Schizosaccharomyces pombe: one gene and its partners. Changing the gene in region 1 together with any one later gene gives a genetic interaction. Each region holds a gene or a part of one and is shown in the gene's direction. Other genes may lie near its edges.

Evidence for each region.
Region 2: of psc3 (region 1) and cut1, extra expression of one is lethal in a mutant of the other (dosage lethality), as found in Schizosaccharomyces pombe (one study listed by BioGRID).
Region 3: of psc3 (region 1) and mmi1, a mutation in one rescues a mutant of the other (synthetic rescue), as found in Schizosaccharomyces pombe (2 studies listed by BioGRID, with this or other methods).
Region 4: of psc3 (region 1) and erh1, a mutation in one rescues a mutant of the other (synthetic rescue), as found in Schizosaccharomyces pombe (one study listed by BioGRID).

The regions. Positions count from the first base shown.
Region 1 is NC_003424.3:2,033,769-2,042,266, forward strand, and holds psc3 (mitotic cohesin complex non-SMC subunit Psc3), read left to right. Parts: upstream 1-2,526; 5' UTR 2,527-2,634; coding exon 2,635-2,899; intron 2,900-2,944; coding exon 2,945-3,057; intron 3,058-3,095; coding exon 3,096-3,191; intron 3,192-3,239; coding exon 3,240-3,649; intron 3,650-3,699; coding exon 3,700-5,299; intron 5,300-5,347; coding exon 5,348-5,752; 3' UTR 5,753-5,846; coding exon of another isoform or gene 5,847-6,117; 3' UTR 6,118-6,163; coding exon of another isoform or gene 6,164-6,532; 3' UTR 6,533-6,580; coding exon of another isoform or gene 6,581-6,636; 3' UTR 6,637-6,776; downstream 6,777-8,498. Other genes in the region: SPOM_SPAC17H9.18C (uncharacterized protein), read right to left, coding at 1-187; WD repeat protein Cdt2, read right to left, coding at 410-1,882; SPOM_SPAC607.02C (uncharacterized protein), read right to left, coding at 5,847-6,117, 6,164-6,532, 6,581-6,636; U3 snoRNP-associated protein Snu13, read right to left, coding at 7,168-7,527, 7,678-7,695.
Region 2 is NC_003421.2:639,725-649,505, forward strand, and holds the start of cut1 (separase/separin), read left to right. Parts: upstream 1-3,684; 5' UTR 3,685-4,087; coding exon 4,088-6,177; exon of another isoform or gene 6,178-6,216; coding exon 6,217-6,518; intron 6,519-6,559; coding exon 6,560-6,854; intron 6,855-6,892; coding exon 6,893-9,692; 3' UTR 9,693-9,781. Other genes in the region: taf5 (transcription initiation factor TFIID subunit 5), read right to left, coding at 421-517, 568-832, 882-1,050, 1,107-2,200, 2,414-2,720. UniProt on the Schizosaccharomyces pombe protein: Caspase-like protease, which plays a central role in the chromosome segregation by cleaving the rad21 subunit of the cohesin complex at the onset of anaphase. During most of the cell cycle, it is inactivated by securin/cut2 protein.
Region 3 is NC_003421.2:336,588-343,518, reverse strand, and holds mmi1 (YTH family RNA-binding protein Mmi1), read left to right. Parts: upstream 1-3,406; 5' UTR 3,407-3,951; coding exon 3,952-4,036; exon of another isoform or gene 4,037-4,164; coding exon 4,165-5,124; exon of another isoform or gene 5,125-5,171; coding exon 5,172-5,287; intron 5,288-5,340; coding exon 5,341-5,489; exon of another isoform or gene 5,490-5,533; coding exon 5,534-5,690; 3' UTR 5,691-6,431; downstream 6,432-6,931. Other genes in the region: TOG/XMAP215 microtubule plus end tracking polymerase Dis1, read right to left, coding at 1-167, 435-485; SPOM_SPCC736.13 (dehydrogenase), read left to right, coding at 1,731-2,750; ago1 (argonaute), read right to left, coding at 6,507-6,931. UniProt on the Schizosaccharomyces pombe protein: RNA-binding protein that recognizes and binds N6-methyladenosine (m6A)-containing RNAs, a modification present at internal sites of mRNAs and some non-coding RNAs.
Region 4 is NC_003424.3:4,065,007-4,069,646, reverse strand, and holds erh1 (protein erh1), read left to right. Parts: upstream 1-2,675; coding exon 2,676-2,704; intron 2,705-2,788; coding exon 2,789-2,810; intron 2,811-2,828; exon of another isoform or gene 2,829-2,861; coding exon 2,862-2,919; exon of another isoform or gene 2,920-2,994; coding exon 2,995-3,024; exon of another isoform or gene 3,025-3,155; coding exon 3,156-3,260; exon of another isoform or gene 3,261-3,318; coding exon 3,319-3,389; downstream 3,390-4,640. Other genes in the region: decaprenyl diphosphate synthase subunit 2 Dlp1, read right to left, coding at 7-891; ubiquinone biosynthesis protein Coq9, read right to left, coding at 1,461-2,213.

The DNA.
Region 1 (8,498 bases):
AGTGTTGAATAATCATTATTAGTATATAAAAAACTATTAAACTGAACGTTTGTTTAGGAATAGGAGTTCGATTAACGGTGAGGAAAAAACATCTAATTTGGATTGCATATATTGACTGGTATTTTGATTGCTTCCAAAAAAAAAAATAATTGTCAACAAAAAAAAATTGCAAACTAATTTTATGCATTAAGCTTTGGTAAACAGAAAAAGCTTATAAAGCATCCAGCGGAAGCAAAAAAATGACAAATCAAAGGATTAAATAGATATGGAAAAAGAAAGAATCCTAATAATATTCAAATGCATTAGGGAATAGTCGTTATTTTTGACAAAATATTATGAAGCCTCACTTATAGTCTTCTTTTCAAGAGAAACAAGCCGAATATTGAGACATTGCTATGCGTGATAATTTTCATTTTTCACTAAATCCCCAATAAAAAATCTCCGAAAAATTCTTTTCTCTAAGGTTAGCCGCACTTCCATGCAGAGAAGAATTCCATACGCGAACGCTCCCATCGTCTGAAATACTTGCCAATTGACCTTCACTAGACCAATCAACTGCAGTAACATCCTTAGTATGACCACCTGTGAGCATAGCAGACGATGAACAGTTTCTTGTTGTGTCAAAAACAACAACACCACTAGTCTTGTCTTGAACGCCTCCACCGCAGGCTAAAGTTGCTCCGTCAGGACTGCACGCCAACTTTACGTAGAATGAAGAAATTCTGAGTCTAGGGTCTTTGTAAGTCTTGCAAAATCCGGAGTTTAAGTGACGAGATGAATATTCATAAATGATACTATCTCTGGAAGCAGCATAAATACGCTCACCGTCAGGAGAAGTACAAACATTAGTAACACCAAAATCGCGTTTTGAAGTAGTTAATTCGGGAGTAGTAGCAGCAGGTAAAGGTCGGACGGTATGTACAGTTCGTAAATCCCATAACTTTAAGGCCGAGTTTGCAGAGCAGGACGATATAACTTGCGAAGTAGATTGAGGGAGCCACGTAGCTGAGGTAATTGAGCAATCCCTTCCCGAATTTTCATGTGCTTTTCTTATCCTTAACACTGGTTTCTGAAAATGCTCACCGTCAATTGTTATCCCGTGTGTTCGCATATCCCAAAAGATAATGGAACCATCCCGAGAACAACTTACCAAATTATAAGGAGAATCATTGCAAAAATTAACCTGCTTTACTGAATGAGAGTGGTATCCATCGACACCTCGTCGTCCCAATCGAGTGATGCATTGTTGCGTTGACAAATCAAATACCTTTGATGTTTGATCGCCAGATGAAGTAGCTAATAATGAATCATCTTTAGAGAAATTAACACTAAATATAGCATTGTTGTGAGCAAGCCAGCCATGGATTCTTCGAGCAGACGGCTGATTTTCCTCATTCTGTCTATCGTAAAATCGAGAATCAAACAGCTCAAGAGCTCCAGTCTCAGTACATACGGCCAATAAAGACTCGTTATTAGCAAATCCAAGACAGAACGGGAGTTGGTTCAGCATCATTAAGCATTCCGAAGGTCGTGAGTAATATGTTTCGAGATTGAGTCTACCTCCCACATGACGAGAAGTTTTTGTGCTAAAAGGGTGCGACCGGGAACCTCCCAGTTGTCTGATTAAAAGTTCTTTACAAAGTTGAGCAGGTTTTTTTTGAATATGAACTGGCTTGTGTAACAGGGGTTTCTTTTCAAACACAATGCGTTTTCGAGGTGTTTCAATTTTTCCTCGGCTTTCTAGGAAGTCGTAAAGCTTATGTTTTTTGGAAGGTGCTGCGGGAGAAGAATCAGGAGTCGGAGGTAATGAGTTATTTGCACGTGAGGTAATATCTCGAAGCCCACCAACATCACTCAAAGCTTTTCCAATGTCCATATTCATGGTATAATCATGAATCTTAATTTAATCCGCTTTTGAGGTCGTGTGTTCCAGTTTAATTTAAGTAGTGGATGGTAGCGTGAGTATATTAGATTTTCGTGACGCGTGAACGCGACGCGTCCGTGATCCATCACATGCACCAAACGTTACCCAGAATATGTTAAAGTAACAAAACGCGTATTTCAAAGTCATGTTTAAGCATATTTGCAATTACAGATGGGTACAGCCTAAAATTCTTGAGGAATAAATAAAAAGGATAAAAGTTTTCTAATTACTTGTTAATTTTTCATAAAGGATGACTTTCGTATTTCTGCCTATGATATAATGAGCGCTCGAAAAGTTGTCAAATATCTCATTTATTAATAATAATCGAAAATATTACGCGTCAAAAGAATCTTTCACTCACAATTCTATACTTGTATAGTCAAATTACAATCTCAACTCGCGGAGTGAATATAAGTTAGCTGTTCACCTTGCAGGACCCAAAAGAAAATAGTATATATTTGTTTCAATCAAGGTAAAGAAAATTTTAATGTAATAACTTCGTTAAGTATAAATTTCCTTTCGTATCCTTGGATTTTCAAACACATTTATCCTGTCTAACACTATTGAACAAGACAAGTTCGTGCTTTTATCAACTACAGGTTGTGAACAACCTCCATTGTACAACACCAATAGTGCATTCATTACACTCTTTCCAATATTTCTAATTACACCTCTTAATTTATTTATAAATTATTTCTTTTTTTCTTCAAATGAGTGAGTCTGTTACTACTGGATCTGATGATGATGGAGGAGACAGAGAATCTTCCCCTGTAATGCTTTCTCAAAGTTTTGATCCCATGAGCAGTAGTTCAAATTCATCTTCTGAAGAAAATAGCGATGATGATTACGAGAAAACGATAAGCTCAAAAAAACGGCATCCACGGCCAAATTCTAAAGGAGTAAATGTAAAACGCTCTAGGAGGAACGCTATAGTTGAAGAGGATCCTCAAGAAGAAATTTTTAACAACTTATTTGGTAATGATAAAGTCCTTCTTTTTTTCAGCTACTAACACTGAAAAGCTTTTCTGCTTGACCAAAAAGTTGATACCATGGACATCGCGGTTTCGTGGTTTGCTGACTATGCAAAAGATAATCAATCTGCCCTTGCAAATCTTATTAACTTTATTTTAAAGGTAGAGTCATTCTTTTCTTTCTTTACTAAATATTTTAGTGCTGTGGTTGCAATCGTGCCATTAATGTGTTTGATGTTCAGGATCAAGATTCTGCTTCAGCTACTCTATCTCAAATTCAACTTTCTGTAGAGCGTGTAAGTGCTTTTGCGAAAATACTTTATTTGTATATTAACAACTTTAAGACTTCTACTCGTGATTATCCTTTAAATTCAAAAAATCTTAAGTTTAGGAATTTCAGAAAGAGATTGACCGGTCTTTTAAGCAACTTTGTGTCACAGTTGTCAATAAGAAATTACTTGTACAATAGCACTGTTTTTGAAGATATTATGTCTTGGGTCGTTGCCATGTCTTCTTCTACGATGAGACCTATTCGGCACACCGCCACTGTTTTCTGTTTGAATATTATGACTTTTTTATGTGAAAAATCTAAAGAACTATTGAACGAGCATGCAATTGCTACCAAACAGCTCGAGAAAGAAGAAAAGCGCTCTCGTGTAAATAGAAATCGCATCAACGAACTTAATAACAGTCTTGGTGAAATAGTCAAGCAACAAGATACATTGACTACATACTTAAATGACTACTTTGATAGGTAAAGATCCCTCAAACGCTTTAATTTATTTATACTAACCTTTATATTAGTGTCTTCGTCCATCGATATCGAGACGTGGAGCCTAAAATAAGGGTAGATTGCTTACAAGAGCTTGGGGTCTGGATTAATACTGTTCCAAGCATATTTTTTTCAGGAAGTTATTTAAGATACCTAGGATGGATGCTTTCAGACATAAACACTACCGTCAGATTAACTGTAGTTAAAGTTTTGCGCAAATTTTTTGAGACAGATTCATTTATTGGTGGATTAAGACATTTTTCTTCTAGATTTAAAGAAAGAATACTCGAGATGAGTTGTGTGGACGCCGATATTGGAGTTCGTGTAGCCAGCATTCGTTTGTGTAACGCTATGAGGACTTGCGGATTTTTAGAAAATTCTGAAATTTTAAAAGTGCTGAAGCTAATTTTAGATATCAATCCAAGGGTGCAACGTGAAGCCGTACTGTTTTTATGCAAAGTGGTTGACGAAAGTGTGAATGAAAAAATTGATTTATGGGGTGAAGAAGACTATATTCTAAAGGCCTTTTCTCAGACTTCACTTACTACATTTTCAGTTCATTGGATAAAATTTTCCCAAATGTGTAAACTTTTGGAGGAGGTTAGATTGTCTTACCAATCGAGCTTTGATTATGATACATTATTACGAATCTTCCAAAAAAATGGTAATTTCATTACTCCTATAACACAAGCTTTACTTAATGCATGTGAAATTGATTCAATCTATCAGTCATGGGAGGATATTAGCAACTTCGTACTTTTTGATAATTATACCTCGACTCTAAAAGATCCGATAGACAGTATACTTTCTTTCTGCAAGCTAAATGATTTTCAGGAATCTATTCTTTTACAGCTTCTCTCTGCTTCAATCCAAACTGTCTGTAATAACAATTTTATCACACCTAAAACGGTGCATAATAAGCAAGCGGCGGAAACGACCAACGATCAAAATAAAGATAAGGACTTACTTTATTTGAATCTTCTTCCTTACATTAATTCAATAACTGAGAGAAATTCTGCTTCACCAACACTTCTTCATGATTCTCTTCGTTTGTTATTCTCAATGGATTTGACAGAAATGACAGACCCTCAACTTTCCAGACATTTTGAACTTCTAATTAATAATTTAAAAAAATTTTTCCTAACCAATAATGATCTTCAAATTATTCAAGGTTGCACGATATTATTTTTACGGTTGGACTCTATTCCTGCTTTGAAAGAAGATTTGAAGCTTCTGGTTACTGACATTTGCGACCAGACGGTAACCGAATTTTTAAAGAATTTTGGATCTTTTAATATTCAAGATGCTGTAATAACAAAAGATGAATTTGTTATTTTTGAAGCTTGTTTAACAAGAATCGAGGGATGTACCTCTCTCAAAGATTTTTCTGACTATCCTGAGTTTGACATAATATATGAAAGGCTTGTTTCGCTTCTTTCGCGGGTTCCTAATAGCTATGAAGATACATTGAAGTTTTCTGCAATTAATACTTTACAGAGTCTATTGTTTTGGTTCTTTCTAAGGAAGGATAACCCTGCTGATGAGGAAAAAAAGAAGGATGATGAGACTAAAGTTTTTAATTGTTTGATTAATATTATGAATAATGACAGCTCTAAAATTTTGCAACTTCAGGTATACAAAATCAACTTATTATTTGATTTAAGAAACTAACTTGACCAGGCAGCCCGAACTTTTCTGGAAACAGTGATAATGAAAGAAGGTGTTAAAGCATCACATTACAACGATGACAATCGTGTATCTGAGGAGCATAACTTTTTAAAACCTCAATTTTTAGATGCTCTTTTAAAAATACTTGAGGGATGGTTATACACATATGCCAAAGTTGGTCAATTCCCCTTCAAGCGTTTGACTCAAGCAAGTTCTCCACATACACAAATTTCTTTGGACAAAAATCCACTTAATAGAAGGCTATTGGAACATGTATGTTGCGATTTGACTAGTAAATTATTAATAGTTGTTTCATTGTCAAATACGATAACACCAGAATTTTCACAACAGTTTTGTGAACTAAGAGGGCACTATGGACCGAAATTATCTGCTATTGTGGATGAGTTTTTGAATTAATTAAATTTAGATTTAATGCCTGCTGTATATTTAAAGTAATTAATTATTTTTAAGTCAGCATTAGAAATAAATTCTTTTTTCATTATTAAAAAGATTATTTCCGCTTGGTTTTCATTAATTCTCTATATTTCTCTATAAGTTCCAAACGCTGCTTTCCTAGAGCTTGGCGTCGTGCCATAGATTCTGTTTGACCCATATTATTAACTTTGGGAACATTTTCCAAGTACTTTGTCTCTTTAATTTTTAATTCCGGAAGTTCAGGAGGAGCTTGCACAGTTTCTCCAAAGGAAGGTTTTGTTTGTAAATTAGCCCACGGATCAGGCGAATTTTTTCGTTTTTTTCTAGACTCAATTTGGATAAATTGTCTAATATGTTAGTTTATACGAAATGAAATTGGTGATATACACATACCCAGTAGTATCCGCCTCCCATGTTTTATCTTCAAAATTTTCCTCAATTTCATTCCAGTCTCTTTCACGCTTCTCTTTTCTTTTCGCTATTTTTTTCTTTTCTTTTTTATCAGTAAATTCGTCTATTTTGCTCGGCCCAGACTTAAAAGATACTGGAATAGCCTTATTTACGCGCTGACTAAATTCACTAAGGCGTTCACCGGGTAATCTTTGAATTTTCCCATAATCTTTTTTTTTCTTATTTTTAAGGTTGCCTTTCTTTATTTCCTTCTTTTTAGATTCATGGTACTCTTTTTGCTGTAGCAATCGCTTGAATTGCTTTGGGAAGTTGTCATCTACACTTTCATCCTCCTTGGGAGCATGATCGAGTCTATTAACCAAATGTTAGTAAAAACATCTTGCTATAGAAATTTTTTACCCAATCTTTTTCCGTTCAGCCTCAAGAACGGACCTTTTCTTAGTCTTAGTAGGCATATTGCGCTTGGATAGTAAACACAAACGAGAAGCAAGTAATAAAGGAAAATAGCGAGCCTAGCTCGTATCGCAATTTAGATAAATTTGGATTTGTTTTAATAGATACTCATGGGATAACAGTAAAGTTTATTAATGAATACAAATATCTTTTTTTATTTTAGTGGACAAGCTGTAACGCTTTAGAGAGAAAAAATTTCAGAATCAAGTTGGAAGCAAGCTTAGTGAAGATACTTTTCGAATCATACACGAAAAATATATTAAAAAATATATATATCAAACACCAAATATACACTATCTTTATTAAAATCGTAATGCTCTTATATGTAAACACTCAACTATCTTTCTTGTTGAGTATTTTGCGAGCTAATTAATAAAAATTAAAATGACTACAAACAGAGTACTTGAAATTATATAGAAAGCGAAACAGTACAAAATTACAATAACAAAATAAAAAATTCGATAACAATCTGCTTCCATAAGAATCAAATTTTATTCTCGATTAAAAGAAAACTGTTCCCAAAATCCAAAAGTTTAGATGAGCAATTTCTCTATTGCCAATTTAATAGCTTGAATTTGAGGAAGTAAATCACTAGCCTCATTGGTAGTAATGCTGGCTGAAATCACCGGTCTACTTACACCACAAGCACGTCCCAAAGCAGCCTTGCTAGGAACAAAAACATAAGGCACATTCTTGTCCTCACAAAGCAATGGCAGATGCAATAAAATCTCTATGGGCTCGGTATCAGCCGCCATTACTATAAATTCACTAATACCACGGTTCAAGGTTTTGGTAGCCTCATTTGCACCTTTGCGAAGCTGCTTGTAATGAGAGGCCTGTTGTACCAAGTCGAGAATTTGTTGGGTTAAGCCAGAATCGGCTAAAGGAAAGGCCTAACAATGTTAGTATGCAATAAAACGAATATAAATTTCGGAAAAGTTCATTTTCCGTAATAAAATTGCCGACGAAACTAGCATTTGAAACTAGCATGCTTTCAGCTATTTCGTAGCCAAAGAAGAAGTCTTATACCATTATTAACATACCTTTGGGTTAACTGACATTTTTTCGGGTTCCTTGCTGTAAAAAGTAGTATCTGACCTACAATGGTGGTTGCTCGCCCTTGCTAAGAAATTTTCTTTAGTAAACTTCACTTTAGCTGTAGTCCAAAAGTACAAGTAACAACATCAACGTTAGTCGATCCTTCGATCAATGTAACTTGGAAAATTAATCCAAATTTGCTTAAATTTGGAATTCTAAGAAATTTATGCACATTAATAATCTTAATTGTTTCTTGGCATTACACTATGAATATGGAGGACTCAAAACTATAAATCAGATTGGTGAGTTTATTTCTATTGAGCAGGCATTCTTCAATTGGACATTGTTTACCATATTTAACAGAATATAATAACATTAAAAAAAGTTGGAACTGCATATCTGATTGAGAGCTGTATTGTTATATAGTCTATGGACTTAGCAAAAAAGAAGTTGCTAATAATCTACTATTTAACTTTTAAATTTTAGCAAAGTACATATAATTTGTCCTAAAAAAAAAAAAAAAAAAAAAAAAAAAAAAAAAGCCCTGGTACATACTATTGAAAGTGTGTAAATTGTAATTTAGCTAAAATATTTTCCCTTAGTGGTTTGGAATATAGGTTTTTAATAATATTATAATTTATAAAAACTTTGCAAAACACTTTCTAAATAATATCCAAAAAAGTTTATACTTTCTGTTAAATTCATACTTCGATCTCCAGGCTACAACTTTATCTACTGTAAAAAAAGCTGAATAAATTAACAGCGAGTACATACACATTTGGATATGTGTTTAGGAAATTCATTGTTTTATATTATTAGATAAAAT
Region 2 (9,781 bases), on another chromosome or scaffold:
TATAATTGCATATGAATGCTTTCAATTAATTCATATTATTAATTTTTTTTCTAAATAATATAATTTAGGGTCCAAACATGAAATTATTTTAGCTTATGTTTAGCGCTGTTATGGTCTATGTAAATATTGGAGCTACTGAAAAATTTAATATATAATGTATCATCAGAAGTCCTTTATGAAGTTTATAATATTAAAAGCTTTTCCGGAACATCAAATATGAATTATTCAGCCTAATTTCGATTCCGATACATGGATGTCTCAAAGTTGTTAAAAGGCAGTTAGTTGTTGACTCATTATCGTAAAGTAAGATAATGTTTAATATTTAAATTAAATTTTTTATAATCTTTTTTTATATAATGCCAAATTTCTTAAAGTATGGACGGGAAGAAACATATTGAAGATCAAAAAAGGTTTATTTATCTAACTAACGCTTATTGCTAAGCAAAGGTTACGACGCGTAAAGGAGACATTAAATATAGGGGTTTGCTTCGTATAAAGAGCTACCATTTGATCCGGACTGTTTGAGAAGGTTAGTAAATATATCGATTCCATTACATTTTCTCATACCTTGTAGACCAATTGACTTCATTAAATGTGGATGTTTTAGCAGAGAAAGGTGTAACAACACTTCCCGTTAGAGAAGAAGAAACAGGATTGTTGTAATTAGTTTTGAAAACGTCCCAAGCTCTCACAGTACAATCTGACCCTCCGCTAACGAGGACCGTGGATTCGCGAGAAAATGACAAAGAGTATATGTTGCCTCTGTGACCTCGCATTGTCTTTATACGCCTTCCTGTTCCTATGTCCCAAAGGTGAATTAGACCTTCACTGTCTTTAATCAAATTAGTAAAATCATTAGTAATAACAAATGTATAACATACCAGCACTTGCCATAGTATGACCATCTGGGGCAATCGCAACAGCAGTTACCGGTTGGGTATGTCCATTAAAAACACGAACAGAATGTCCTCTATGTACATCCCAAAGCCTGCATGTTTTATCGCTTGATCCAGTTAGCACATAAGCGGAGTTTGGATGAAAGGTAACGCACTAAATACAAGTCAGTCATAAGGAAACACATTTCTTAAAAAAGATAATAATCATACGTCTACATCACTTAAATGCCCAGCAAAAACTCTAAGTGGGTATATATGATCACAGCTCCAAAGTTGTGCAGTCTGGTCATGAGAAGCAGTAGCGAAGTAATGACCAAACGGACCAAAGGCAACATCCCAAACCGGGCCAGTATGTCCCTTGTAAGCTACCAAAGCAGTTTTTGTGTCAACAGACCACAGCCGGGCGCTAGCATCTTCGGAACAAGATAGTAAATATTTATTATCGGGAGAAAATGTGGTGCCGTAAACAGGACCAGAATGACTCAGTAAACGTACTGAGCCATCTGAATCCTCTACAGAAGTTGACTTAGGTAATGATTTTTTGTCAGCCTTTATTGACCATAGCCGTATATAACTTTCTTGAAAACCACAGGCGATCATTGTGGAGTCAGGAGAAAATTCAGCACAGTTCATGTTGTTATTGGTGTGATGGAATGTGTACATACAAACACTAGGAAGGGAGGCTCTAGGTCCAAGATGTAATCTTTTACTCCAATCTTTCACAGCCTCAACTTCTGAAAGAATATCAACACCTTTATGAGGAGGAAGAGGGATATAATCTCTAGACGGAGCATCTTCAGCATTAGGTTCATGCAGCTTTCTAAATTCTTTTAATAGTTTTGGAGATTGGTTATTTGGATCGTTTTGGTGCATCATATCCTCTTCTTCTAAGTCCATCTCTACAATTTTTTCCATTTCTTTGTCCATTGGCATTTGTTGCAGCTTTACAGGTTGAAGTTGAGCATCTCCTCGTTCAAAGGATTGGCCGGTAATACCTTCTTGTTCATTGATAACTTTAGCATTTTCCAAGACGGTGGGACGTCCGGGAACGATATGGATATCTATATGCTGATTGATTAATTTAATGATAATTGACCCACCGTTTGAAACGTTTTCAAATAAGAAATGAAGCAATAAATCAAATGTTATCCTAGAAAAATGGAGTTGATATTTATTTTGCCGGTATTGTTGAGCAGTGCGGTCTTCTGCGACATGGCTTGGAAGACTCAGCGATTTTAAGTTTTTTACATCAAAGTCATGAAGATCAGTATGATCGTCTTTGAAGAGTTCGTAAAATTGCTTTGCTATAGCACGTTAGTAAAATTATCATTTATCCTTATAAAGAATTAAATATGGGTGGTCAAGTGGAATGAGTTTCAGAAATAAAGACAAGTTGTAAACTCAATAGATAAAGAAACTAATAAGTATTTAGAATAGTTCAAATACCCCTCTTGTTCGTAGATCATCGAAACAAACATGTAACAAATTCGTAACCTCCTCCAATATGACCAACTTACCAGCTTCATAATGATCTTGAGACAAGAGATTAAGATATGAGTGAACAAATATAGGAAATAATATCCTGTGAAGTTCAGCTTTGTACAATTCTAACGAACTATCCACCCAGTCTCGTAAGATCGTATACGTGTGTGTGTATGCATCTGGAGTTTCCTCAATGCTTTTTAACTTCTCCTCTACTGACACGCCAGAACCCGATGCTTCCAAACGAAGCATCGCCTCGGTCCTTGAGTATCCCTTCTTCGCAAGGTAATCCAGAACAATTCTGTTCAGATCCTGCGGTTGCGGCCCATTAGTGGCAGACATGGTTAAATTCTCCAATACTCTAGCTTGAAGAAATTAATTAGAATCCAAATATAAATCTACAAATGACCGTGATTCATATAATTACCTGCGCAGAGCTCAAAGCAACTTGCTAGGAAGTAGCATATGTCGAGTTCGTGTCTATTAACATACCATTGTGTACCACGCTAAATTGGGAATTTGCAGGATTTATGAATAACTGAAATTTGGAAAGGTTCCACAGTGTCTGTGAGCGTTTTGATGTCGAAATCCTATCTAAATTACTATTTCTTTTGTCCTACTCAAAAATGAACTGTCTATGAAATTGTTTTAATGTCAACACAGGATTGCGAGGCAATGAACGCTAGAAAAAAAAAATAAATAAATAAAAGTTTTGCATAGTAAAACTTTTTCAATTAGATACTTTTTAAAATTCTTTTTTGATTTTCAATTCGGTTTTAAAAACTTTCACTTACTTTTTTTTTAGAAGTTTCATCCCAATTTCGGGATGTTTATAATTTTTTAATTAAATTATAGTAGGGCCCCTTATTAAAATAAAACTAAATGTTGGGTTGAAATTTAAATAGGGAAAATGTAGAAGTTTTTTTTAAAAAATTCAAAAAATTGGGAAATTTCATATTTCCTTCAAAATCATTAGTTTATAACAAAAATTGATGTAGCATTGATAAAATGAGTTTATCAGAAATTATATGTTTTTTTTCCTGTTACAGATTTGTATGGTTTTGAGTCTTAATCGGTTTATTTATTTATTGATATATTTATTTACATTATTGAAATTTACAAATAGTAGGTTGCGATGAAGTAATGGACTGTAGATAATAACTGTAAACTATCAATTATTTACATTCATTTTTAATTATATTTAATTTTCTTCTTTACAGTTTTCTTTCTTTTGGACCAGTTTTAGGGATTTGGTGGTAAGTACTGTGTTTTCATTTGCCTTAACATCCAAAGCATCCTTGCTACCAACTAGCCTATCTTCATCCAGCGAGACGACTTGACAGTTTTTTCGTTTTAGACGAAATAAAAACCAACAGCTCCAAATTTCGACTATTGCAATGTTCTAATTAATGCTGATAATATTCTATTGGTTGGGAAGATCGATTAATCTACTTTTCATAAGCATATAATAAAACATCTACATGATTTTTAAGTCACTAATATTTTCCTCTTCTCAATAATTAGTAATATAACTTTGCGAACTGAAAATCACTGTCAAATTATTAAATCTTATATTTTGGTCGATATTTGCTATTGGCTTAGTTATTTCTTGCAACCTATTCTTCATGAACGGCGTTAAATAATTTAAATCCCTTTTATTGTTGTAACTGTTGCTGGTTAATATTTTTTACTATTCATTCGTTTCCATTATGTCTACAAGGTCAATCGTTACTAGTAAAGTTTCTTGGACTCCAGAGAAGTTCATTTCAGCTCTCAGTTATCCTGAGCATTGCTCTATTACTCTCGTTAAGCGACTCAAGGCTTCTGTAAAATTAAAGGACCTCAAGCAAAATATATCTCGTGATGCACCTTCGTGGACGTTCGAGCATTTGTTTGTGGCTTTCAAATGTGCAGTCAGTAACTTAGCTAAGCAATGGGCGGAGCTATCCACTACAGATAAGGAGAAAACTAGAAGGATGTTTTGTACACCTTCTAGATTAAATACGGCTCACCGTCCCGAGGTTTTCTACCTGTTAGAATGCTGTACATATATTCTCGAACAAATGCAGGTGGTAACCAAAAATACAAGTCATTTGTATGATTGCATCCGTAGCGGGGTTTCAATTTGTAATCGGCTCCTGGACATGGAGATTTTTGAACCAGCTATCAGTCTTTTGATGAAAACTCATAAAAACCTTATAATTTTACTGACATATCGGGACCACGATGCCATCCCTACTGCTACCCTTCTTAATCCCACTTTAGATGTTTCAGAAATCCAATTAGAAAGCTGCCTTTTTGTTCCTATGGTTCCTGCCTCTTATTTCTTAAATATAGGCACTATCGTTGTCACATTTCAGCTCAATGTATTACGATGTTTATCTTTAAGTCAAATTAACGGTTTGTCTTTGAATACAATCAATAACTTACAAAGCGAAGATGGCCCTTTTCAATGGATTGAAAGAAGCTTTCCTTCCCAGGTTCAATTGGCCAATTCGAGAAGAGAAATTTTAGCTCGTTTGTTGACAAGATTTTCCATGATACAAAATAACGCCTTACAATCGTTCAAACTTTTAATCCTCTCTATAGCTTTATGGTTGAATATTCTTTCTTCCCAGAGAGCTGACGATAAAGAGTTTGATGTAAATCAGCTTGAAACGAGAATCCTCCAACTTTTCTCAAAAGTTGTCCAATTATGTAAAAGCGAAGATATTGAAGGATCTATTTTAAATAAAGATATGACACAACTTCATCATCTTCTGGAAAATTTATCAAAAGAATCGAGGTTGCATATTTTGCTTCAACTTTCTCAACTTTATTATAAATATAATGATTTCCAATTAAGCGCTGCATATGTCATTAGAGGCTATTCTTTGTCATTTGAAGACATCAGTTTTAAATTAAAATTTTTATTATTTTCTTTTCGATTATCAATTCACGATAATAGCATTTGTTTTCCGTTCAATTTAATCCAAGAGTTGTCGTCACTTCAGCAGCTCTTTGTCGAAAATGCTTTACCATATTCAGAAGCTCTACATTTATTGGATTCAATAGAGCGATCATTTCGACTTTTCAATGACTCGACGGTTTTTGATGATACTGTATTTGCTTTGAACATATCAGAAATTTTATCGTGGATACTCTCATCGGTTGTGAGGGATATCCTTGTCGAGGATGAGCTTTTAAATCTCCAACTTAAAATAAGAAAGTTTTTGATGTTTACATTTCATATAATTAGGTCATTTAGTGAGTTGACTAAATTTCAAAGTTCTCTGGAAGGCTGTTTAAATCTCGCAGCCTACTATGAAGATGCTGAATTTCCTCAAAAGCTTTCCAATCATCTTTACAACTTGTGTGTAAAATCTTCTAATGTTAATTATGCACGTGAATGCATAAGTTTGAGTATCAAAATTGCTGTATCACATAAATTGACTAATGATGAAACATATCTCCTGAAAATTTTAAAAAATTTTCAACTTCGGTACCACGATTCTTTACAGTTGCAAGAAAAATGTGATGTACTCCATACTACATTCAATCAACTGGATCTCTATGTTGGAACTACATCTGTTGGAAAATCTAGTGTATTGGATAACATTTTAAAACGTATATTCAACTCTTTAACTTCTATAAATGATTCAAATATAGAAAAATTGCTTGAATCAATAAGCTATTCCTTGCTCAAACTTTTTTTTAAATGTGCAAATGAAGGTTCTCGATATAATGCATCTGCTGCTTTATCTTTTAAATTATCTCTTATGTTACATGAAAAAGAGGAGGTCCTTTTGCTTAAAACAAAGTAAGTATTTCTACAATTTTCTTATTTGCTGACATTTAGTGTTTCTTGCGTTTTGGCAAACCATGGGTATAATGACATTAAATTTGAGGAAATGGTTCTTTGCGTTATTAAAGGTGACCAAAATCTCCTAGAGCATAATTCCAACAATAATGCGAAATTAGCTTTAAACGAGTCGCTATTATGCTCATGGGAAAATTTGCTATGTTACAGACGTGCGGAAGACGATAGTAGGATACTTACAATAATTGAGTCGTGGACTATTTTTATATCTCGATTTTCTTCGGTCATTTCTCGTTGCTCCTTCACAGATTTTGAAATTAACTCAATTTTGAATTTTTTTTGTAAGTTTTCAATCGTAACCGGCGTTTCTAATTGTTTATAGTTTGTTTTTTACATACGGTGGAGCCGAGTGGAAAACTAACATTCGAGTTGGCTTTCCTTGAGATATTTTACGAACTTTTCAATTGTCTTCTTCATCTTCAATTTTCCAAGTATCTGGTCATCATTGGTACTTTGCTTAGTGATAAATATATGACGCTTGGCTTCTCAGGGAAAGCTCACTTGTTTTATACCAAGTGTTATAGCTATCTTCGTCAATGTAAAAGCAGTCCTTTTATAAACTTTTGGAATGTTTCTTATGGTAAATATTTGATTTTAACCGGAAATACGGATAAAGGGTATGAAGACTTTGTGAGATAGTTACTAACGAGCTCAGAATTTTACAGTTAAAAAAATATTCTCTTTCTTCTGAAGAGGATTTCAATTCAAATGGTTTAAGTCGGACTGTTAGCCTCAATCTTTTGCTTTATGAAAGGATACAGCTAAGTGATGCCCTATTTCAACTAGGCTACACCACTGTTTCTCTTGGCTTTATAATGCAAAATTTAAAGGTTATTAAGGGATTGTTTTCTAAAAGCTCAAAGGAGCATTTCAACGGCGGAAAATATATTACTTGGCGACTTTTCGCTGTCAGTGCTCACTCTAACGTTTGCGCTGCAAGGATTTATGAGCACATGGGACAGGCGCGAGAAGCCGAATTTTTTTATCGACAAGCTTGCAGTATTTCTGAAAAGATGCCGTTTTCTTGTTTTTCAGCTACCTTCCAATTGCGCTTATGCTCACTACTAACAAGGGCAGGAAAGTTAGAGAAGGGCGAGAAGATTTTATTTGATCTTACTGAGGCGATGAAAAGCACAGATACATACCATAAACTTTTATGGAATTACGGAGCAGCTGAAGTATGCGCAACAAAATCCGAGTTGGATGGTGCCATATGTCACTATTCAGAATGTGTAAAACTTTTAGAAATAATAAAGTCAGAATATTACCTTTTTTTTAATAGGAACCGCGAGAAGTCTCTTACAAAAGGAATTAAAAGACTCAGTCTTTCAAGTCAACCAACTTTTGTTACAGAATCTAATACTACTGAATTTGATGACTGGTCAATTCTTCAAAATACGGCAGCCAATTTACTTCGTCTGATTTCTATGTTTGAGTTGAAAAGAGGAAACTTGGAGATTGCAAAGGCTTTAATGACTGACTCGACAAAATGCTCAATTGCAAGTTTTTTCAACATAGTCTCAGCTAATATTTTAAAATCAAAGCTTATTGTTTGTGAAGCTGATTCCACACTATTTGGCGATCCCGTCCTACGTACTCTTCCCGATTCTGTAATTTCATTACCTGGAATTTCTCATAAATTTCAGAAAAATCAAAGTAAAACAAAAGCGCTTGGAGAAAATACAGGATTTCGCAAGGGATCCAAGCGCTTAGATTATTTACGTGAGAGGCTTAAAATCAATTTGCAGAATGTTAGATTAAGCTGTGAAATTATATTTTCTAATGCATATGAGCGGAGCTCTGTATGCGTTTGCAGGGAGGTCAATGAATTGATATCGTACTCAACAATTATGCAAAGTGCATTAACCACAATTGGCGAAACGACCGACGTCGATTCTAGTTCAGCCTCATTTTTTTTAGAGATCCCTAAAGCTCTAGGATTCCATAGACGTCGTGAAGCACAGAAATTCAGAAACCAGCACAAAGAACTTCATTTTAGTAGTTTGGAACAAATTTTAAATAGTCGGTTATCTATACCTGATGTCCGTACATTTCAAGACAATTTTATTGATTCATTACCGTCGATCTGGAATGTCGTTTCTATTACTATTAACAATTCTGGAGAGGATTTGTTCATCTCAAAAATACGCAAAGGTCATTCTCCGCTGATTTTTCGTTTACCATTGCAAAGACATAATTCACGTGACGCAGACGAAGAAATCCTTGTGTTTACAAAAGCTCAAACCGAGCTATTTCGAATTATCTCTAAAAGTAATCAGATGGCTCAGAACGGTAAACATTATACTAGAAGAGAAGACAAAGAAACTTGGTGGAAAGAAAGAAGACACCTTGATCAATGCTTGCAACAACTTTTAGAAAATATTGAAATATCATGGCTCGGTGGATTTAAAGGTATTTTCAATCCACATAAAATTGATACTTCTTTGTTTGCCAAGTTTTCCAGTCAATTTCAAAACATTATAGCTAAAAATTTTAACATGGACAAGAAAACACCTGTCCCTACACTGTCGCCTGAGATCCTAGAACTATTCATCACCTTAGGAAAACCTGGGTATGAAGGTTACGAACAGCTTTTAGAGGATTTGATTTATTTTATTTTGGACATTTTTCAATTCCGAGGTCTTCATTTTGCATACGACGAGATTGATACTGATCAACTATCTATGGATCTTCAGGATGCTCTAAATGCCTACTTCAACAATTATGTCTCTGAAGAGAACAGGAGTCATACGGTCCTTGTACTGGATAAATCAGTTCACCAATTTCCGTGGGAATCTTTACCATGCCTAAACCGACAATCGGTATCACGTGTGCCTTCATTATCAATTCTGCGGGACATCTTGTCCCAATCATTTGTCGTTAATGGAGAGTATGTTGAAGTGCGTAAAGAAGCAGGTTCATATATACTAAATCCTAGTTTGGACCTTAAGCATACTCAAGAAATGTTTGAACATAAACTAGTTGAAGGTGGGTGGAAGGGATTAATTGCTAGTCAACCTTCTAATAGAGATTTTATTAAAATGCTTTCAGGTAATGATTTTTTTCTATATTTCGGACATGGAGGAGGAGAGCAATATACAACATCTTATGACCTGGCCACTCTAAAAAGGTGTGCAGTCACTATACTGATGGGTTGTAGTTCTGGTGCTTTGTATGAATGTGGCTCATTTGAGCCATGGGGGACTCCTTTGGATTATTTGAGTGCTGGGTGTCCAACGTTAGTTGCAAACTTATGGGATGTCACCGATAAAGACATCGATAGGTTCAGTTTGAAGATGCTTGAAAGCTGGGGACTCTTTGAAAATAAGGCACCTTTTGTGAATTCAACGAGTATATGCACAGCGGTCAGCGAAAGTCGTTCATGCTGTCATCTACGCTATTTGAACGGAGCAGCTCCTGTGATATACGGAATACCTGCTTATATTATTCCATAAACTGTCTAAAATTCTTACTTCTTTTTATTTATTTGAATCAACATTGTTTCAACGCCTTCTCATATAAAGTTTCTCCTATTTAACGATTA
Region 3 (6,931 bases), on another chromosome or scaffold:
AGAGATTTTACGGCATGCTCTTGTGTTGGTACGTTACTATCACACAGCCCTTGTTTCCATAATGCTGGGTCATGAATCCAAGGCTGGAAACAAACGTCTGAATCATCCAATGCTCGGTTCAATGCATGCAACAAAGACTCATATGCTTCAAATCGAACTTTCCAAGACTAAATAAATCAGTTAGAAACCTAAAAACTTAAAATAACCCACTACAGAAGTGAGATCCATCAATACTAGGGAGAACAGGTATGAAAAGAGTAGTGACGGAAACACAAAGCAATGAGTAAAACTAATTGAAATCGTAAAATACAATGGAATTGATCAACAGTGCCCTTAATGCCGTTGCAACGATATTTCCATTTGTTTGCTTTTCATTCCAGTTACATTTTTCTGGACAGCAAGCTTCTATCTCCATTAATTTGTAAAAAGCTTACCTTATCAAAAATTTGACTGAGAATGCGGCTATTAAAATCGTCCAACTCCATTTACATAAACAAATATAAATTAACGACTCGTATGTTTACAACCAGCAGAGCATGAATAGTTATGTAAAAGAATGAATTTTATAGACAAATAGAAAAATGAAAACGAATGAAACGGACGGGATTCTAAACAGTAATGAGTATGGCTCTGAAATTGGAGTTGTACATGTGTAAATAGAGACGACTAACTTTACGGACGACAATGTTTCACTCACACAGCCAGCACCGTAGAGTTAGCACAATTCGTTAGACCATCGTATTGTTGAATATGAACGAGCGCAAGATTACACTATTAGAGCAAAATGTAAATAAAGCAGAGAAAAAGAGGAAACCATCAATAATTTTAAGTTTTTAGAGTAATTTAATTCTTTAAATAAATAACTTTATCTTAAACCGTACCAAAATGATGCTAACAGAAGATGAGCACCCAAATGGAATGTTCACCGATATATTAAGCCTTATGCAAGTTGCTTTTTGAAACCGATTAATGTGCTATTGGGTGGCTCTGTAAGATGCTTGTGATCTAGTATAAGTGAAAAAATGAATTTCTAAGACTCTTACTGAATAAAACATGACGTTTAACTCGTTTAAAGAAGGGAATCCTATAGATTGCAGATTTTTAAGTTTTCGTTTCTATTCATACCTAAGTCTAATTTTATCTTTCATTTGCCCAATCTGAATTCGAGTTCTTCAATTACAATAAGTTCAAGTTATACATTTTTAAAAGGATTCCAATATTCTGTCGAGCACCCAATTCATACATTCAATTCTAAACAATCCATATTTCGTTTTGTAAGCCAAGTAGTCAAAAGTAGCTAGTCGATGTAATACCATGCTTGATCAAATTTTCGGTCCGCAAAGAAGCCGTGTTACGCCTTGAGTTTCTTGGATTTTGAAGAAATTTGTCAGCGGTCATTGTATAAATTACGAATTGCTTCCTCTTCCGCTATCGTCACTCTTTGCAACTTATCATCTGCAGCCACCCTTACCCATATTCAACATATTCGACGAGAACGATATTTAAGTGTTTTCTAGAACTTAAGAACGCTTATTAAAAGAAAATTGTTGATTTATTCTTGAATCTGTTCCAAACTTGATCGATTGATTTCATAATCGCTACAGTTTCGAGTTAAAGACATTGGTAATAAGTTTGTTCTCTGGCCACTTCTTTGCAATAAAATCCTCCCCGCTCATTGTTTATAAAGTTCTTTTTTTTTAATTGATATTAGCTTCAAAAATTTCTTTACGATGTCCTACAGTTTTCAGGGATTGCTCAACCGCGTGAATGAGAGCGCAATTGTAAATACTCTCAAAGAGTACACCGGTCTCAATACACCCAAATGGACCTTTAACGATATTCCCGATCTTACGGGTAAAGTCGCTCTTGTCACAGGATCTTCAGGTGGCATTGGTTATGTAACTGCCCTCGAGTTGGCTAGAAAAGGCGCAAAGGTCTATCTGGCTGGTAGGAACGAGGAAAAGTATCAAAAAGTTATGAAACAGATCCACGATGAAGTTAGACATTCCAAGATCCGTTTTCTTCGTTTGGATTTGTTAGACTTCGAAAGCGTGTACCAAGCAGCTGAGTCTTTCATTGCCAAAGAAGAGAAATTACACATATTGGTCAATAATGCTGGTATCATGAACCCTCCCTTTGAATTGACTAAAGATGGTTATGAACTTCAGATTCAAACCAACTACCTTTCACATTACTTGTTCACTGAGCTCTTGCTCCCCACACTCCGTCGTACTGCAGAAGAATGTCGACCTGGCGATGTTAGAATAGTTCACGTCGCAAGCATTGCATATTTGCAGGCCCCTTATTCTGGTATCTACTTCCCTGACCTAAATCTCCCGCATGTACTTTTGGGTACTTTTGCTCGTTATGGACAATCTAAGTATGCCCAGATCCTTTATTCCATTGCTTTAGCCAAACGTTTAGAAAAATATGGAATATATTCCGTTAGTCTACACCCAGGTGTTATCCGTACCGAGCTGACTCGTTACTCACCTACCTTTGCTCTCAAATTGTTAGAGAAATCAGTCTTCCAGTATTTACTTTTGGATCCAATCAGAGGCGCCATGACTTCCTTATATGCTGCAACCAGTCCCGAGATTTCCAAAGAGCACTTGAACGGCGCTTACTTCACTGCAATTGCTCAGCGTGGTATTCTTCATCGCGCTCATGATGATGCCTTTGTTGAGGAGCTTTATCGCTATACTCATAAGATATTTGAAGATCTCAAGTATTTAGCTCCTTCTCCATAATTCTTTTGCTCGTAATCTGAACAATGATGAACGCTTCTTGAACCACTTAAACTAGTAAAGTGTTTCTACCTCCTCATATATTTTTAGTTGTCTTATGTTGGAATCCCTTTATGATTACTTTATATTAGTAATAATATTATACAATTTCGTATTGCTTAAGAACCACAAACAGCATTTCGACTTTGTCGCTACATCGCTTCTTCCCTGGTAACAGTAGGTTTGATCTCTTACTTTTCTGTCTGTCAAAGCATTGGTATTGTGTATTAGCCATTTTATCCACACTTTAGTCGACTGTATTTTAATTTACAAATCAAATATTTACTTTATAATGTTGATGGTAAATATGGAAACGACTAGTCGACATTTGACCATTCACTATTTACACTCAGAGCAATTTTTTGTTTTTTTAATCTTAAAAAAGAATCTTTCTTTTGAGTATCTCTCTGTGCCACGGGGCATTTTTTGAATCTGCCGAACAAATTTGTAAGAAATGTGAATTTACAAGGAATACTTATTAAAAAGTAAAACTCTTTTAAAATAGAAATTTTTTTATTTACTCAGTAATTGATGGTTTTCATATTCATTTGTTTTATCAAAGTACTTCGTATTCGTTATTACCCGTAATCAAATTACTCTCTCACGATTATCTGCACCTTGCCTTCTTCCAGAAATCCAACACTAAGGAGGCTACTAGTAAACCCTATAATAAAGTGTTTTATTAAACATTCAAACATTATTTTGAAAGTTGACGGGAAATAGCTAACTTTTGAAGAAAGTGAAAAGCTATAATTGGTGATTTTTGGGCTAAACATATTTTTTTTTCTTTTTTTTGGGGCTTGGTCTTCACTTGACTTACCGCTATTCTTTCAAGAGTATATCTATCTTGCTAGTTCTTGCTTTTTTATTTCTCTACTCGGCAAGACTTTTAAAGTAAACGATAGTGGTTGATATAAATTCAGTTAGTGTATTGACCAGCAATTTTGTTTTTTGGGGGGTTTTTTTGGTTCTCTCTTTATTTTTTTTTGTAAAAAAAATATAAAGCAAGGGATTTTGGTGAATATTTATTAACTTAATTTAATATTTATCACAATCTTCTGGCTTCAACTCATTTTCCGTTACTCAATTTACAAATTTTTAGCATTTTAAAGAGGATTTCAAAAAAAAAAGATTATACTTTTTATCACACATAAAAGAAATTTGAATGTCAAACACAAACTTCTCTACTTCTAGGTCATCAAAGTCCATTCCGGAACTTCCAAATTTGGAAGCTCTGCGAAGCCTGTGGCGTAAGTAGATTATTGTTTAAAATATCAGAGAGGAATGTAAAATAGTGTCATTGAAAATTGACTGACTTTTCGCCTAAAACCTCCTACTGTTTAATTTTGTCGAGAATTTTACTAACCACCTTATATAGCTCCACCGTCATTGAACGAATCGGGCGATACTAGAAGCGTATGGACTACTCATACCGGAGAGCCTGTTGCGTCAAGTGTTCTATCTACTTCAGGTTCAAACAACTTTTCTTCACCTCTGAAAAGACCTGCACCAGAGTCACATGACGCTCCTATCGGTAGAAGATTGATGGTAGATGATCCCCGCTTAATTAAACATGGTAAATATGATTTTAGCAGGCATTGCACTGACTATGGTCACTCCTACGAATGGCCTTATTTTCGATCCCTTCGTCGTGAGTCTATGCTTTATCACACTTCGGGATCTTATCCAGAAAGTCAGCCTCCTTACTCTTCTTATTCAACTGATGCTCCACATTATTATCATGCAGGTTCGGAATCCTCTGCTTACTATGATAGCCGTTCTCGTTTGCATGGCATACAACCTCCTCCCAAGCGACGCACACTTAGTCCTCCCCCTAGACGGCTTGCGGACCCAGTGGTTGTTGGAAGTTCTCGTTATGTTGAAGAAGAAGTATACAGAAGGCCTCCTTACACTTTAGCTTCTGAAGTTCCTTCATCCGCTTCAGCATACCAAGCTGGTTACTCTTCCTATCCTGTTCGATCTTCCCCCCAACTTTCTCATGAAGACACTCGTCATGGTATTGCAAGCAGTGGTTCAACAAGGTATCCTTTTGTACCTGCTAATACTCGTGCATCTCACTCCCCTAGTTTGCTTGAACCTTATGCTCACTCCCTTCCCTCTTCGGTCGCGCCAGTTGGAGCTTATCCTGAGAAATCTTCTTACCTGCTTTCTAATTCCAGCAATGATAGTGCCTCAAGAAAAGAAAAACCCAAAGCTCGTGCATCTACGCCTCCTCCATTAAATTTTTCCAGAGCAAGCGAACATAGAAATGAGAAGGGGGAACGCATTTCGATGATTAATCCCCGAGTTGTTCTTGACGAAAATGGAATTTCACACCGTAAGGCTTAGCCCATTAAACCAAAACAAATAATTCTAACAACTTAGGCTCCCGTTATTTTATTATGCTATGTGACAACGAGACTGCCATTGCTCATGCTAAAAAAACTTCTATTTGGGCAGTCAAGAAAGATTCTTCCAAAAGAATTTCTGATGCATATAAGGTTTGTCTTTTATTTCCCTTAAACGATATAGTTTTATACTAACACTTTAACAGAAAGCCAGTGTTTATTTTATTTTTGTGGCTCAGCAAACGTACAATGCTTTAGGATATGCTCAGGTAGTCAGCGACCTAAATAGCACCGAACTGCCCTTTTGGTCAGATAGCTCGCATGCTGGAGGTGTTCGCATCAAGTGGATTAAAACGTAAGTGTTGTACTTTTGAAGATTTCTTCTGCTTACCTAACTAGTTGCAATCTGTTTTCTGCTGAAATTTCTGAAATTGTTAGCCACATGGATCATGGGTCTGAAGCTAGAGATGGCATGGAAATGATGTATGATGAAGGCAGCAGACTTTGTACGTTGATTAACTATGCTATAATGAAGCGAATTGGAAGAGACCGTTGATATCTCCCTTTTGCTGGATTTTCAAGAATGTTGGATGCTTCCTTTAACAAAATTCATGAAACTATATACTATTGGAGCGGATTGATGTTAAATGCAGTGGATTTGCTTAATAAAGCATTCCGTATAGGTCGCTCATCAACATTAAAGATTTAACATTATTAAAAAGTTTTTCTGAACAATAAAAAAAATGCACACTATAATGGTGTTAATTTTCAATCTTGGAGCAAATCAGTTAAGTAAAATTATCATTATTGACTTGTTTTTGCTCCTCTAAACGAAATCTTAACACAGTATGCAATGTTTGGTTCTTGAACTTAACCCAAATACTCTAAAAAATTAGAAATTCTGATTCTCTTCAAACAGGCTGTTTTCAAATTTGAATGATTTTGCTTTGAATGATGTTTTTTCTTAATAAAAAAGCTAGATGAATCTGAATTAGACAAATAGGTAAATTGGTTGTTCAACCATTGTGCATGGAATTTATCGATTTTAATCACTTCTTCTGAGATCCTTAAGTATCATTTAGTTTATCTGTATTTCTATATTGGCGTGACACTTACATAAAGTTCGGGCTTTGGGTTAAGTGAATGTCATTAGTATTATCGTTATCAACATTTGTTGATCGTTGGAACATGGTCAAGCTATCAACAGTGGATAGAGCATAAAAAAACTAACATTAAATGATTAAAGAAAATTACAATAATATAAAGCAAAATAAAAACAGAAGCAGATTTAATAAGGAAGTAAAAGTTGTGGGCAATCCAGTAGTCAATCGTATATCTATTTCATTACTTATTGCATGCAATCCATCAAACATTACATATACCACATCTTTGTTTTCAATTTACTTGATAGAGCTAAAAGCGGCTTTACTTCTTGATCCATTGATGCTTCTGATGTCTCAACAAAAGTATCATCGGCTGTCACGTCTTGATAACGGGCTAAGTTACTAACCAAATGCGCATAATAAACAGGTGGAACCAAGGAAACAGCACTTGTTGCTCTTGCATAAACATAACAAAGATTATAACACAGTGTTTGGAATTGGTCCGGTGGCATCTGAATTTCGTCGTGCAAAACCGTGTAGTGAACTGGGACCGAAACGCCTTGCAGAGATGGGTGGGATATAAGGTAAAAATCGTACTGATAGGGGTGAGTAACATGCTTTTCAATAATTGTACCAGGGAGGGGATTTCCATTTCTATCTCCGTCGGATTTGTTCTTAATGAAGAAACGAGCGT
Region 4 (4,640 bases), 2.0 Mb from region 1:
TGTCGATTACTTCGAAACACTATTAGCGATTTCCATGAGAGCTTGCTTAGCCTCTATATCGGGGAAAACAGACAATGAGCTCTTGGCATTCTCAACATATGTTTTCAAAATGTCATTATTCTTTTGCAAAACTTGGGCGTCAGGAGATACAGGCTTATGGGCCAGTTGCAGCGATAAGCCTAGAAATTTTCCATAATTGAAACACGCATCATTAATGTATTGTGATGAGTTATTCAATATGCTTGCGCATAAACATGCCTTTGCTGGCATAAAGGCTGATTGCAGAAGGATGGTTCGTTCGTTTGACAAACCAACAGAGCCATTTTGTCGGCTTCCGAAGTGCCCTTCAACTAAGTTTGCAATAACAGAAGCCATAATTTCTGTAATAGCGTTGTTTTCTAAATGTGCTAAATCAACAGACGCCTTTCCGAGTAAATAATCTCCAACCAACGTTGCAAGTTTAATCTGTTCGTTGCTTTGTTCTTCTCCAATATTAATATGAATTATATTGGCAGCATGAATCAATTCTGTTACACGGGCAAGTTGTTTGTACCTTTGAAATAGTTGCTGACTCGGTGGATCCCCATTTACTGATGCTCTAGACATTAGAAGTACAAGAAGCGGATGAAAAAAACGAGTTGAAGATTTTCTGTATGGCTTCGTAATTTCATCTAATAAAGGATTATTATCTGTCCACGTATTAATTTGACCATTTAAAGAATCCATTTCTTCTGTAAGCATTTTTAATAAGTCAGAATGCCAACGGGAATCTCGTGATAAAACCCCTACAGCTTTTAGCAGAATGGAAGACCAGGAACCAGGTTTTTTTAAAGATAATAGAGAGCTTATTGCAGAAGGCCTTTTCAGCAAACTAGCGAACGGAAAGCTCATCCTTCATACAATAAGTGATGATTTCACACTTGAGTAAAAAGATGACAAAGGCCTTGTAGAGGTATAGTAGGGTATCAGTAATTTACAACGCTAATGAAACGAGAGACAAAAAATAGTGGGATGCTTTGATTGCTACTATGTTTTCATTTTTGGAGTTCTTTAACTACGCCTGTGTCTTGTCAGTTTTAGCTAATTATTTCAAAGTCACAGGTTACCTCAGGAAGAGTCAGAATAGTAAGTTCAAGGTAGTAAAAAAACAGAATATACAAGTAGTAAAGGTAGCATTAGTCAAAGTGTGTGTTTCTATTAAATGTTTTACTGAAGTTAATTTGTTATCAACCCGTGAATATATAAGGATTTTTCTATAGATTTTTTTAAGGTAAACACTGTTCAAATGAAGTTTCGAATCAAAGAGTACATTCAACAATAACTACCGATATATGGAGAAAACAATTAGCCAAAAAAACTTAAATATTGTAGGAAATGAAATTGCATTTATTTCTTGCATAACGTAAAGTTGAATCAAGCTGATTTGTTAAACCAACAAGCAAAAGGAGTAGCAGTGAATTTTAAATTCCCCTTGAACGAAGGATTGATCTCACAGCATTCAGCTGAAAGGAACCCCATTCCAAGACATCGTTGCGTAAGTCATTTAAGGCTTTTGCATGTTGAATGCGATGTTGAACAAAGTTATAAGTCGCCTCAAAATTAGGAGAAGTATCACGACTCATAAATAACTCAGATGCAGAGTAAATGGCAGAGATAGCAGCACGTTTCGTGTACCATTGAAAATCGGCTGACTTATCTTGCGCGAGGTAAAGAATCTCATCTGACAGTTCAGCCAGAGAGGATAATGATTTTCGCAAGTTTGAAGGGTATGTACAAATTGCAATCATCTGCGGAAGATGCTGAACAATATCCCTATTTCCTTGCAGACGAGACCAAATAAGCTGGACAACACGTCCAGATGTTTCGGGGATAGTGGTCAAATGAGGCTTTAATGAACTAAGAGCGTAGCGCTGCTTCAGGAAAAAGTACGAAATCAAATCCATTGGACCAGAAGGAAAGAGGGCCTTGGAGAGATTACTATAGCCAAGGGCCTGACCACCTTGCACGATTGCATCTTCCGTGAACCCCAGTTGAGGAACATGTTCAAGAGCATTTTCTAAAATTAAAGCCTTCTTTCCGGATATCTTAGAGGTTTCGTAATTTTCACTATGATAGCCTCTCCTTCCTAGAGCGGAAATGACCGTTTTGGAGATGCATTTATGAAGTCCCAGGTTTTTTGTTGTCAACTGACAAGCACTTCTTAAAGTCAACATGTAAAGAAATAAAAAAAAGAGTCAGAAAAATAAACAAAATAGAAAGAAAGGGTCTTTCACTAAGCAATTCGAAGGAAAGAGATATGGGTAAAGAGGTGTTACGAGTTATTCAAATCAGCGAGTTAGATAAAGTATATAGTAAGATTGGAAGATGACTTCTAAAAATAATTATAATATTTGAAGTATATTAAATTGTGAGAACTGCAAAGTAAACGAACTGATAGAGTGCGTGACGGATGCTACTGTAGAAGGAAAGCGAAATCGCTACTCAATAACTGTGCTACCCACCTGAAAGTACAAAGAGTCGTTCTGACAATAATTTGTGTGACAATAGCAAATAATTTTCAAACAGATAAATTGAAAATAAAAATAGGGTGATATTAAGCTAGACGGTGTGTTTGAGAGGCGGTCTTAATCCTTGCTCGATAAAAACAGAAGATACTTCAAAATACTTGGCTCGTAATGTCGCCTCCACCAGCAGAATCTCATATGTATGTTCCCCGAATGCCAGAAAAGCTTCAAGACACTTATGTACACTATGCAAGGGCTATTCGCTAACTAGATTTTGCTTACAGCATTTTATTAATACAACAAGGAGTATGTCATTAGATTGTAGGATAATTAAAGATTTCACTAACTCCTAATCAGTCGGATCCAAAAACTCGTATATGGAGCGACCATTGCAGCTTGCGTTCTGCTATTGAGTGTATGAATATTATCTTTCGTCCTCCTTGTAGAGGATGCGCTACTTATTGGAAATCATTTGTTAACGTGATATTAGATATAGTCGGTGTTTACCAAACAAATCAAGGTACGTACGATTTTTGTTTTTCTTTTTTGGTTGGAAATTTCAGTGACGATGAACTATGTTTTCCCAAGTCCCGGATTGAAAACTCAGCTTTACCGTATGAAAACTTGCATTAGACTGACGTTTATGTTTAGCAGTCAGCGAAAAGGAATCTATTGATGTCTCAAGGTTTTTCAACTTTTTCGACGAGATCTATGATTGCGTTCCTTTGGTATACGATCGGCATTTTCGTGCATATAGTAAGCAGTTTCTCTCATTTATCAGTTTGATTTTGATACTAATAAATTCTACTATTAGTTCCCCATGAAAAGCAATGGTTGTTACACCATGCTCAAGAATATCTCACAGCTGCTAGACAGATCCCTTAAAAATATCGAACACCATATTATGCTACTCATTGCTATGCTTTAAATTTCAAAATCAAAGAAAAAATAGAACTAAGTTTTTCTAAATTAAAATCTTTATCAATGCACTAGGAATGGCATTTTAGCAGCTGCTTTTCACCTTTGGAATCAGCAACCAATATTCTAAGAGGTTCAAATTCTATTGTATCATGCATTAGCTATATTCTATCTTTAACAATTATTTTTCTATTCTTTTTTTATAAAATTTAATTGTTCTAATAAATGGCATTTGTCTCTTAACTTTTAAACCCAATTGCAAATTTTTTTTTTACTTGTCATGTTTTTTCCTCGTGCAAGACAAAGGACCAATTCCATCCGTTTTGCCAGCCGCTATTGTATTGTTTTGCCCTTTTTTTTAATTTCCAGTGCTGGGAAACTGTAAAACAAACAGCATAGCCACTTCTAAGCCCTCGTTTGAAGTAGTCAAACCGGAAGAAACAAACTTTTGTACTTGCTAGACACTCGATCTTTGCTGACATTTCTTTATATATATATATTTATTTATAGTTTTTTTTTGTATCGCTTTCATCTTCGCCCTCGCTCCTTCCAGTTTTGCTACACATTATAAGGTATATATATCATGTCGGTATACTTGCCGAGCAACGTTCTCGGGTTATAGAAGAATAGCCCTAGTATAGTGGAGCTAAATCACATAATGTTGTGTATTTTGACCCATTTTTGTCACGGAAACCGCTTGGCCAGTTACTTTTTCAATTCGTACCAGGACGAATTAGTCACAATAAAGCGAATGCATATTCATTGTTTCACAAACTAGCAATACAAGATAATTGTCTAGGCATTATAGATTTGCTACCTTGAGTTTTGTGTACTTTGCTTCTCAATTTTACTCTCCAAAGATAAATATCCATTGCTTCTGCAAAGAGTTAGTCAAGTACTTGATGACTGCAAAACAATTAATAACAAGAGCGTGTTTTTATATTTTATACTGTCTGTTTAAGGTTTAATTGAATCCAATAATTCAACTAAGAATAACTTGATCCACATGTTTACCTTTCTTTTTGTTTAATAAATATTATCAGATGTGATTTTCCTGTTTGCTAACTGCAAGCGAAGCTACTTTTTTCATTATATTTCGTTATTAGCGTATAAAGACATTGTAAAGTATTTGCAGCGATATCTAAGGAGGATTGCGAAGGGGCTTAGAACATGATGATTCATGCGAGGCGTCTGCGTCACGCTTCTGGACTTATGCTT